Linked DNA regions of Yarrowia lipolytica. The protein of the gene in region 2 interacts with the protein of the main gene of each other region in a pairwise test. Links are inferred from orthologs where the notes say so. Each region holds a gene or a part of one and is shown on either strand. Other genes may lie near its edges.

Region 1 (3,460 bases), on a different chromosome or scaffold from region 2:
TGTTTGTCTGTCTGATCGGTTGGCAGGAAATTTGACGACTCAGATGACAAGTTGTCGCCGCCGTACTCGCGCTTGTCGCCCGTGCGCTTTGAAACCACGTGACTCCAGGTGTTGTCCACCGAAAACGGCTGTAGAGAAGACATTTGTGGTAGCCGGTCCAGGTGTTCAAGTGGTTTACAGTAGCTACTCGGTAAGGTATTACTGTAGCGCGTTATAGTGTTTCGTGATAGAGTTCACGGGTCGGAAATGAGTCTGGTAGGGTACAATCAACAAGGACTTCTTGAGAAGATGACCCCGATAAGGAAAAGTTGATTTAAAGCTGTATGTTTCTTCTCCGGTTTCCATTTTCCACCATTTCATTCCATCCACTACTTGCCGATTTACAGACGTCCAAAAACATTTGCTTGGTACTCTGAACCTTGACAGGGGAGTCGCGTGGGTGTTATTACATGTTGATAAATGGTGAATTGGGGTCTGTAGATATGGAGGAACAACTTGTAGGCCTATATATTGGCGATTTTGGCTTCTATCTCATTGTAATTCGAGCCCTGCCAGATGTCTCCATAAGCCACCAACTCGACCCAAGAAAAATCTCACTGAAAAATACAGTTGTGACTTCCAGATGCGGAGGAAAACTTGATTGTTGATTTGCCGATGGTGTGGGGGGGCTACGGGGATTTTGAGTATATCATGGTGGTCCTGGAGATTTCCCTGTGTCTGTGGTTTTGTTGTCGTCTTTCTCCGCCTCCTCGTTCGACTCCACGACTCGTTGTATGTCCAGCCCATTCAAACTGATCAATTAAACCTCCGAGTGCGGTAAATGGTTGAGATGCATGTTATCAGATTTGCACGAGTCGCAGTAATAGGGGACTGAGTCCAAAGAAGACGTGGATTTGAGGGGAGAGGTTATGTTCTTATTTTTGCGTGTCTAGTCACGTGTAGGTGGCAAAAATACTGCACCTAGTAGACACTGACTCCGCCTTCACGTACAAGTAATTAATTTATTTTGTTTTTTATTTTATACTTTTATTTATTCATTTTTTCTTTTTTTTCTTTTTTTAAGCCCGCGGGAGTCTAAAGAAAAGTAGCAAGTATATACCTGCAGATAGCAACGGACTCATAGGGAAGATGGTGCACTGCTCGACCCTTGTTCGATATATCGTGGGGTAAATGTCGAGTTGGTTGCGGTTGTGTATATCAGGCAGTATCCTCCCTTGTCGTCTGAATTGCTTTTTGGGCTTATCACATGCAGGAGTCGAATTTCAGGACCTTTTTTTTTTTTTCCTTTTTTTTCTAATTTTTTTTTTCTCTTTTTTGAATAAGGTCGTATGCACCCTGGTGGCTACAACTATTGTTTAGAACGGCTAAGTAGGATGTCTATATACTCAGGATGGAGGATGACAGCGGCGGCTGTATTGACACAGGAATATACAAACAGGATCAATCGACCACAAATGACCAAGGAGAGCACAGGACCCCCTCCAAAAACACACAAGTACCGGAAATCCCGCACCTGTAGCATCCTTGACACTGGTTATGACATGTCTCTCAGTTAGTCAACTATACTCAACTAATGCGACCAAGTAATAGCGTGATGCTAGTAGGCTATGATGACTTCGAATAATGACGCGATAGGAAGCTGGTAAATTATCGTCCACATACCAATTGTTGAAATATATATCCCCGACTCAGCTCGATCACTGAAAACGCTATATTGACATATTCGGCCACCGTCCCCATCTGGAGTCGAACCCACGTCCACAAACCCTCCACCAACCTTCGACTCACCACTCACCACATCAAATCCATAACCCAGAAAACTGTCCAGATCACACCTCCACCACAGTCCGCCATGTACCAGCAACCTCCCCAGCAGCAATATATGGGTGGCCAGATGAACCAGCCGCCGCCCAATATGCCCCAGATGGCACCCAGCGGCATGGCACCGGCCAACTCCAACGACCCCAACGTCATGCCGTTGAAGCTGACGGCAGAAGACGACAAGCTATATTCGTGGATCGTCGAGCTGATGCACGGCGAGGGTCGCGAGCAGGCTCTACTCGAGCTCGGAAAGAAACGAGAGCAGTACGAGGATCTCGCCCTCATCCTATGGCACTCGTTTGGAGTCATGAGCACTCTGCTGCAGGAGATTATGAACGTGTACTCCCTGCTGACGCCTCCCAATCTGTCCACTGCCGCCAGCAACCGGGTATGCAATGCCCTGGCCCTTCTTCAATGCGTCGCCTCACACGCCGACACCCGAACCCCCTTCCTTGTGGCCCACATTCCGCTCTTTCTGTATCCCTTTCTCAACACCACCGTCAAGTCGCGGTCGTTTGAGTACCTGCGGCTGACATCGCTGGGCGTGATTGGCGCGCTCGTCAAGAACGACTCGCCCGAGGTCATTTCGTTCTTGCTGTCCACCGAAATCATTCCCCTGTGCCTTCGAATCATGGAGAGTGGCACCGAGCTGTCGAAAACAGTGGCGATTTTCATCGTCCAAAAAATCCTCATGGACGACATGGGCCTCAACTACGTGTGCCAGACGTTCGAGCGGTTCACCGCGGTGTCGCAGGTGCTCGCCAACATGGTCCAGCAGCTGATTTCACAACCGGCCTCCCGACTGTTGAAACACGTGGTCAGATGTTATCTCAGACTGAGTGACAACGCCAGAGCCAGAGAGGCACTAAGACAGAGTCTGCCCGAGCCGCTGAGAGATGCTACCTTCAGCCAGGCTCTGAGAGACGATGCCGCAACCAAGAGATGTCTCGCGCAGCTGTTGATCAACTTGAGTGATAGTTACGAGTGAACAACGAGCAGTGCAGCTGCGACTTGTGAGCGGAACTCACAGTCCTACCACGAACATCGTGCTGCGACTAGTGACCACGACTACAGGTGTCAAAGCTGACCCATAGAGCAGTTGAATACCACTCAGCAACCCGGTTCATGAACCGCGAGCTTACTGCATCATCGAAGACCAACAAATCGCATAATAGGTCACCTGGAACAGGTGGTGACCCTAAGGGGAGCTGGGAGTGGCCCGTACGTACGGTACAACGCCACAGCATGTAAAAATATATTATCTATCTACACTAGACAAGGCCCGTGAACCGTGGCATCTGATTGAAATCAGACAGACATATTTCCATGATAGACAGATATGTCCATCTAAATAACTCATCCTTGCGCTTTCAGCGAGAGAGCTACCATCTCTCTAAAAGGAGCTCCTACGTGACAGCTACGTTATCACCGGAACGTCAAGTCACTGAACACGAAGTAGTCGAACCAACACGTAGCTAGGGTTAGTCGTAGTCAAATAGAATGTATGACTAATGATGTTATAATGCTTTTCTTGCTTATATAAGTATGTAATTGTACAGAAAGAAGTAGCTACTTCTGAGTCAAAGGGATGTAACGAGGGCCCAAGTGCTGGGATACAATACACCGGCACTGTCTGAGC
Region 2 (4,348 bases):
GTAGAACCAATCTCTTTCAGTTGCCACGTGGTTTCTTACCGGTGGTTGCACATTCTCTTGTCATTGCACGGAACTCCATATACAGTAATTAGTACTTGTGACATAGAGTTCAAATTAATGAGATGACGTGTGATAGGGAAAACACGGAAGGGGTTGTCTACTACTTTAGGGACCGGTAGAAGGCCGACGTTTGTTGTCGTTCGATGCTCTGCGGCAGTTGTTCTTTGCTTTGAGGTGTTTTCAACTCACTCACATCTCGTCAGGGAGCAATCGAATTATGTCGGGTATTGCCGGGTATGCATGTTTCAATATTCTACCGACTTCGATGTTGTGGTTAGGGTATTCCGTATTCGGACTTAAATTGCCATGTTACTGTACTTGTACATACAGTACGTGTAAGTTGTCGCTTGAGGTGGTTGATCTGGGTGTGTATGTGATATGTTTCAATTTAGAGAAGTCGGGATATCAGAAATGGACAGAAATGCCCGACTAGACTCCACCAGGTGAAAAATAGAACGTCAAAACATTGTTGTCTTGGAATAATGACGAGACAACCAGTCTTGTGTTTTTTATTTTATTATAATAACATGATACTACAAACTCTGTAGAATACGCGGTGTTCCTTTGGTATGCTTGGCTTAACTAATTACAGTCGTACTTACTGAAAACCCAACTACTTGGACAAGTAATACCAAAGGTTGTTCAATTATTGAGTGCATGTACCGTATGTGTACTGCACAGTATAAGTATGTTATCCCTAATTATTCATTTAATACACCGAATAATGCCACCGGTTCAAGTAAGAGTGCATACTGATACCTCATCTCTGGAATTTGATGATGTCTACAATATGTACTCACACTAAGAGAACTGTGCAAGTCACCGTACAGTACTGTACATATCTATGGCTACAGTACCTCGAGCTCATGTCGGGTCTATCGCTAGATAGGTCAATAAGGGGTAAGTAGTCGTACTATGAGGGTATACCAATTTAGCCATGGCTGAAAAGTGAATACATAGCATCACCGAAAGGGTCTAGCGGATAGCTACCACTGGCCAAAAAAAAAAGGGACAACAAAGAACGCTCGCTACATGTTTGTACCCTTCCAAATACACTGACACCACATTAGATCGCAGCTTATCAGGAAACGCACCACTATAAATGCTAAACCATGAACGCCAGTCGATGCTGGGATGACAGTAGACGTGTACCAAGGAGGCGCCCAATGGAGAGGAGAGACATACGGGGCGGGGAGGATCACACACTTATGGGCACTGGATAACGATTCCGTTTTGAGATGGTATCCAGTCATATCATGATCCTTCTGTCCGGTATGGGCCATCATTCCATGGATCATGAGATGTGTATATATTAATATCTGCATAGAAGGAGCCTCAGATAATAATGAATAGGCTGTAAACGATGCATCTGACACACTTATCACGCCTTCTGCTTGATTTCAGTGACTCAAATTTATTATTATTAGTGCATCCCCTAGCAGATTCGAACACACACCCCCCCACAACAAGGCTAGATTTAAGCTTTAGGCCGTCAAAACTGCCACCATGGTCAGTGTGCTGATTTTATCACGAAGTCATCGACAAGGCTACCTCTAAGACTATCATCAGCAAGCACAAATCGAAGGACATCATCCCCCGACACGGCCGAAATGAACCACAACACGTCATTTCAGCAGCAGTTGTTGCAGCAGCTGCACCAGCCCGGCGGCAGCAACCCGGGCGGGGTGGGCGCAACTGGAGCAGGCAACAACAGTCCCTCCTATCCCGAGGCCAGTTTGATGGGCTCCAAATTCTGGCAGAAACAGATGCAATTGGCTCAATTATCGCGACAAACGGGACCCACCAGTCACGGCTATGCCCGGGCGGCAGCCATCAACTCGCGTCAACAACACGGTAGAGACGGAGCCCAGGTGGACGCAGACAAGGACCAAGGCCCCAGCCAACTGACTCTGGTGGATCTGGCAGTGCAAACGGTGCAGCAGGATCTGGTAGAGCAACAGCAGGCCACCGCAGCATCCACGCCCCAGAGAGGATACACAAATCAACAAAAGAAGGATCAACTGGAGGAGGAGCGACAGATGACGCTGATGCAGCAGGAGAAGCATCAGTACTGGGCTGATCTGGACATGTCGGGCCAGGGTCTTATGTGTCTGTCACCGCCGCTTTTTCGCAGCTACGAGTTTCTGCTCAAATTGTACATTAATCACAACAAGCTGACCACGCTGCCTCCGGCAATCCGATCTCTGCGGCAACTGCGTGTGCTAGACGTCAGCTCCAACATGCTTACCAAGCTCCCACCGGAGATCGGTATGCTCCACAACCTGAGATACCTGTTTGCGTTCGACAACTACCTCTCGACTCTGCCCCATCAGGTCGGTCAGTTGTACCAGTTGGAGGTGATTGGTTTGGAGGGTAACCCAATCAACCAGCCAATCAAGGAGAAACTGGCGCAGGGTGGAACCAAGGAACTGGTTGCCGAGCTGAGAGAGTCTGCTCCTATGCCCGCTGCCCCCAAGCCTCGAGAATGGATCGTTCTGGAAGAGGCCGGTGGTCGAGGTGGCGCTGCAACAGCAGCAGCAGCAACTGAGGGAGAGTCTGGCTCTACTGTCGCCACAGCCACAGCAGGAGCCAACGCAGCAGCAGCTGGTGCATCTGCCTCGTCCGACACCTTTACTGTCATGTCCTACAACACTCTTTGTGACAAGTACACTACAGTCCAGATGCACGGCTACACCCCGCTATGGGCTCTTGGATGGAAACACCGATCTGAGACACTTCTCAAGGAGGTCATTGGATACGACAGCGACATTCTGTGTTTCCAGGAAGTCGACGGAGCCTCCTTTGAGGATTTCTGGTCACCCAAGCTGCACCAGCTAGGCTATGCTGGCCTGTACCATCCGAAGACCCGAGCACGAACAATGTCCAAGGAAAAGGATGCCAAGCGAGTCGACGGATGTGCTATTTTCTACAAGACGAAGTCGTTCTGTCTGATTGAAAAACTGTCTCTTGACTTTTCGTCTCTGGCACTTAAGAACAACGACTTCAAGAAGACTGCCGACACCTACAATCGAGTTCTCAACAAGGACAACATTGCGCTAATTGCGCTACTAGAACATGTGACCACAGGCCAAAAGATCATCGTCACAAACACTCATTTACATTGGGACCCTGCCTTCAACGACGTCAAGCTCATCCAGGTGGCTCTGCTTCTGGATGAGGTGGAGAAGTTTGCTGAGCGGGTTGCGAAGGACAGCAACCGAGTCAGCGCAAGAAACCAAGACGGTAACAACGTCAAATACGAGTCTGGCAAGAAACTGCCACTGGTCATCTGTGGAGACTTCAATTCCACCACCGACTCAGGTGTGTACTCGCTCTTCTCGCAGGGCACCGTGACCAACCACAAAGACATGTCTGGCAGAGCGTACGGCAAATTCACAGACGAGGGCATGAATCACGGCTTCACTCTCAAATCTGCATACTCGAACATTGGTGAGTTGGCATTCACCAACTACACACCCAACTTCGTCGATGTGATTGACTACGTGTGGTATTCGTCCAACGCTCTGTCTGTGCGAGGTCTGCTTGGTGGCATTGATCCCGACTATACCAGCAACATGGTGGGATTCCCTTCGGTGCATTACCCCTCCGATCATATCTCTCTACTGGCCGAATTCTCCTTCAAGAAGCAAAAGGGAGGTGATGGCCAGCCGAAAAAGGCATTGGATTTCGGTAACTCTGGAAGCCACAGCGGCTCGCGAAAGACGTAAGGTCAAGGTAGTGGTGGAGGAGCTCTGGAGAGCAACATCAGTCGCATAGAGCTATGACTGGAGTTACACAGAGCAGCAGCTATACAATGCCATCGTAGCAGCAGCTAGAAGCAACAGCAACAGCAAAGCTCACTCAGCAGTTTTGTACAAGCAAACTGTTCTGAAACCACAGGGATATAGGTAATGATTATGTACGAGTAGAATAAAAGGCAGTGTAGTTACCACGATACTCTGTTGCTGTTGTAGCCGGAGGAGCCGAGAATCGAGCAACATGTGGGCCAGGGAACGGAGCAGGTAGTGTGTTGGCATCGGAAACAAGTATGGGCTATCTGCAATGCTCATGCCTGTTATCAGCAGCCAAGACCGCGCTTACAGTACGAGTACAACAACGAGTACAAGTATAAGAATCGTAGTCTGTTATGACATGTTCTTTCAACGGTTCTAAACGAACCTTAGCTGAGAGGTGGCAGGTCTTTATGTGTGAACAACGAGATGCTGTATTGTTGTGTGCATGTATGTACAAGTAGTGTGTGTGTGTGATACTGAAGGTATTGATCTAT
Region 3 (3,785 bases), on a different chromosome or scaffold from region 2:
AGTGCATAACCACAGCAGGTCAAGACACCTTGTCTCATCCGACTCCTGGCCCAAAGAGGAAAAGTGTGGAGTGCCACCAACCGTTTGGTGAGTAGGTACTTGGAGGTTTTGCCTTGTTCATATGCCGCGGCTTTTGTTTGGATGGAATGTGTTCCTGGAAATGAGCAAATGGTGCCGATGCACAAGGGTGCGGCTTGCATTCCGGAATGTCCGACACTGCACTTTGTCTGATCGCAAGCCTGCTCCCGTGTCTACCTTGAAGGGGCGGGAAACAGACGGGACTTGTCTGCCGGGCCGACCTATCGTCTTGATTTACTTCTGGTGGTGGTCTCAGACGTCAGACAGGGATACGTGCGACTGAACGATACCATACGATTCCAATGCACTGTGGTTTCAGATGCCCCGCTTGATATGTACTTTCTGGAAGGTCTAGAATCGAAATAACCACATCTCAGCTGCATTTGTCTCTTGTCTCAGCGCATTACGATACGAACATGATCACTGATCACTTGATCAACATACTACCAGACGATCATCACTGTATACAGTAGCACACTCACATGTGCCCGTGTGTAGCCTGTCACATTTGCATAGTACATACCAGGTTGTCGTGCCGCCTCACAACGCGCCTGCTCTCGACAAACTAGTCTACAGAAGTGGTCTTTCAGACATGGCCTTTCAACTAGATCAGTGACTGCCGACATCCATTCCGTGCATTGCAATCTTGTCTAAAAACATGTACCTTTACCTTGGTGCGATAGGTGTACCTTGGTAGGCATCGCGACCCCAGTGCAGTACCAGAGGATATCCCTGTGGAGCTGTGGAGGGTCCTCCATTTTATTTTTGTTGCGGCTCTCTGGCCAGGTCTTTCGCAACCGATTTTCCGTCGCTCGCCTGCCATGTTAAAATGACAGCTTGCTCTAGCCCCTTCTGAATCTCGTCAGAACAGGCTTGAACAAGGCCCAGGCAAGAAGCCCAACAGTAACACCGGTAAAGGCGTACACAATGAGCTGGTCCTTGAACGACTCGCGCTCAAAGCACGCCGTGGTCACGTCCACCTCGCCCTTGGCCTCCTTGCAGATGGTCAACTTCTGGTCCAGGCAAAACTGTCGGGTGCAGTTGTTGCACGTCAGCAGCTGTTCTTTTTGTGGTCGCAGCTCGATGATCTCGTACTCGCCGAAACACTCGCATTTGCAAAACTCCGTGTATGCCAGCGCTGGCACCACGAGCAGAATCAATGTAAGAGTGAGCGATAGCAGTTTCATTGTGCAAAAATGTGGGAAAGGTGGGCAATGTGGGAAGTGTGGAAAATGTGGGAGAATGTGGTGTCCGGATCACAGCGTTGGTGCCGTAGAAAAAGCCTGGGAGCACAAATATCTGTTGCAGTCACGGCTGGTCGCACTTGTACGGAAATATGGAGAGGGAAGACATGCATGTTGGTCGATTAAGTCACATTTAGTTGGCTTACCTAAGCAGCCTCGGCGAAAACCTCCCCGCCCGCCCCCTTCCCCAAAAAAAATCGAGAGCGGTTCAATCGTCTTATGATTCATTGGAGCTGCTCTATGACCGTATACAATAACACTTGGCTTGTCTCTCCCAACCCCGGATCAACCAGCCGCCCACCATCACTATCGCCACCTGTACATTTTAGCCTTTTGCTATCATCGAGGTGCCAATTGGAGTGGCGCTAGGAGCTTGAGTAGTGATCGGATTGGGGATATTGCAGTCTTGATCGATACATCTGTGGCACATCAGTGTCAGTTTCGGCCGTCTACCCTCCATCACCTCTCCATCACGAGTTATCAGCGTCCAGTTGTTGACGCCACTGAACTTTAATTTCCGCTCACTACCTCCACTCCCACCCACACACATGACCATCACCACTCAACCTCACCTCACAAAACCACACATCATTCATCTACACACACCAAAATGACGACAGTTGCAAGCAACCAGGTGGGTCCCTCTTCCTCGTCAGGCATTGCGCCGTTCTTTGCGCAACAGATTGAGGACTTTGAGCTGAAAATCAACAAGAAGCTGCAAAACTTGCGACGGTTGGAAGCCCAGCGAAACGCCCTCAACACCAAGGTGCGTCTGCTCAAGGACGAGCTCCACGTGCTGCAGGAGTCGGGCTCGTACGTCGGCGAGGTGATCAAGATCATGGGCAAGCAGAAGGTGCTGGTCAAGGTCCACCCCGAGGGCAAGTACGTGGTCGATATTGCTCCCGACCTCGACATTAAGAAGATCACGCCCTCGTTGCGGGTCTGTCTGCGATCGGACTCGTACACTCTGCACCAGATTCTGCCCAACAAGGTCGATCCTCTGGTGTCGCTGATGATGGTGGAAAAGGTGCCTGACAGTACCTACGACATGGTGGGAGGTCTGGACCAGCAGATCAAGGAGATCAAGGAGGTGATCGAGCTGCCCGTCAAGCATCCCGAGCTGTTTGAAAGTCTGGGTATCGCGCAGCCCAAGGGAGTCATTCTTTACGGACCCCCCGGTACCGGAAAGACCCTTCTTGCACGAGCTGTGGCGCATCACACCGAGTGTAAGTTCATTCGAGTGTCTGGTTCCGAGCTGGTGCAAAAGTACATTGGAGAGGGTTCTCGAATGGTTCGAGAGCTCTTTATCATGGCCCGAGAGCATGCCCCAAGTATCATCTTCATGGACGAAATTGATTCCATTGGTTCTGCTCGAACCGAGTCTGGAGGAGGCGGCGGCGGTGGCGACTCTGAGGTTCAGCGAACCATGCTGGAGCTTCTCAACCAGCTGGACGGTTTCGAGTCGTCCAAGAACATCAAGATCATCATGGCCACTAACCGTCTTGACATTCTGGACCCTGCTCTTCTGCGTCCCGGTCGAATCGACCGAAAGATCGAGTTCCCCCCGCCCACCGTGGAGGCTCGAGCCGACATTCTGCGAATCCACTCACGACGAATGAACCTAACCCGAGGAATCGATCTCAAAAAGATTGCCGAGAAGATGAATGGCTGTTCGGGAGCCGAAGTCAAGGGAGTGTGCACAGAGGCCGGAATGTACGCTCTGAGAGAGCGACGAATCCACGTGACCCAGGAGGACTTTGAGCTGGCTGTGGCCAAGGTCATGAGCAGAAACGATGCTTCCGAGGTTTCTGTTGCCAAGCTGTTCAAGTAAGCACTGGTTTGTTGGTGGAAGGGGTTCGTTGGAGTCACTCTGTAAGCATACTTCTTGGAACATCATGGAGGATATATAGTAATGTCATGTTATGATTAGAAGAGCGTGCTTGTGAGATAGGGGGACGATGTGGAGCAGTACAAGAGTGTTCAAGTGATGGCACGGAGATGGAGGTTGTAACTCAAGGGCGAAAGTGTGTTCAGTGGTAACTACAAGTACGAATAACCTGCTTCCAGTGAAGATATCCTGGATAATGAATCTCATCATATCGTAGTCCCCAAACGACAGTGATACTACCCTATCAGAGCACATGTTCTGGCCGCTTTACAGCGCAGACAACCACTCAGACAACCACTATAACAGCCTGTTTCAGCCACAAGAGCTCGTCTCTGAGTCCAAGTAAACATTCGACAATCTGTGCATTGGTCACGCGCACCGCAAAAGTGTATATTTTAGATGAAACTTGCGCCAGTTATCTATCAATACCTTTGTAAATCAAGCTGTATAGTTGCAGCTCTTTTCTGATGTTTAATATTCGCTCTCATAACTCGTTCATCTCTCCACTCCGTTTTTCCGGCCGTTTAAATATTCAGGTAACCGAACAAACTTTGATTCGTTTTGGGTTGCGAGGG

What was found.
Region 1: the proteins of YALI1_B19962g (region 2) and YALI1_F04643g interact in binary tests that used the Saccharomyces cerevisiae proteins (3 or more experiments, as listed by UniProt). The link is inferred for Yarrowia lipolytica from reciprocal best matches to the Saccharomyces cerevisiae genes CCR4 and CAF40.
Region 3: the proteins of YALI1_B19962g (region 2) and YALI1_D21167g interact in binary tests that used the Saccharomyces cerevisiae proteins (3 or more experiments, as listed by UniProt). The link is inferred for Yarrowia lipolytica from reciprocal best matches to the Saccharomyces cerevisiae genes CCR4 and RPT6.

What each region holds. Positions count from the first base shown.
Region 1 is NC_090775.1:462,502-465,961, forward strand, and holds YALI1_F04643g (uncharacterized protein), read left to right. Parts: upstream 1-1,852; coding exon 1,853-2,809; downstream 2,810-3,460. Other genes in the region: YALI1_F04626g (uncharacterized protein), read right to left, coding at 1-143; YALI1_F04655g (uncharacterized protein), read right to left, coding at 2,877-3,083, 3,136-3,141. UniProt on the Saccharomyces cerevisiae protein: Acts as a component of the CCR4-NOT core complex, which in the nucleus seems to be a general transcription factor, and in the cytoplasm the major mRNA deadenylase involved in mRNA turnover.
Region 2 is NC_090771.1:1,994,614-1,998,961, forward strand, and holds YALI1_B19962g (uncharacterized protein), read left to right. Parts: upstream 1-1,670; coding exon 1,671-3,788; downstream 3,789-4,348. UniProt on the Saccharomyces cerevisiae protein: Acts as a catalytic component of the CCR4-NOT core complex, which in the nucleus seems to be a general transcription factor, and in the cytoplasm the major mRNA deadenylase involved in mRNA turnover.
Region 3 is NC_090773.1:2,114,849-2,118,633, reverse strand, and holds YALI1_D21167g (uncharacterized protein), read left to right. Parts: upstream 1-1,932; coding exon 1,933-3,153; downstream 3,154-3,785. Other genes in the region: YALI1_D21173g (uncharacterized protein), read right to left, coding at 921-1,265. UniProt on the Saccharomyces cerevisiae protein: The 26S proteasome is involved in the ATP-dependent degradation of ubiquitinated proteins. The regulatory (or ATPase) complex confers ATP dependency and substrate specificity to the 26S complex.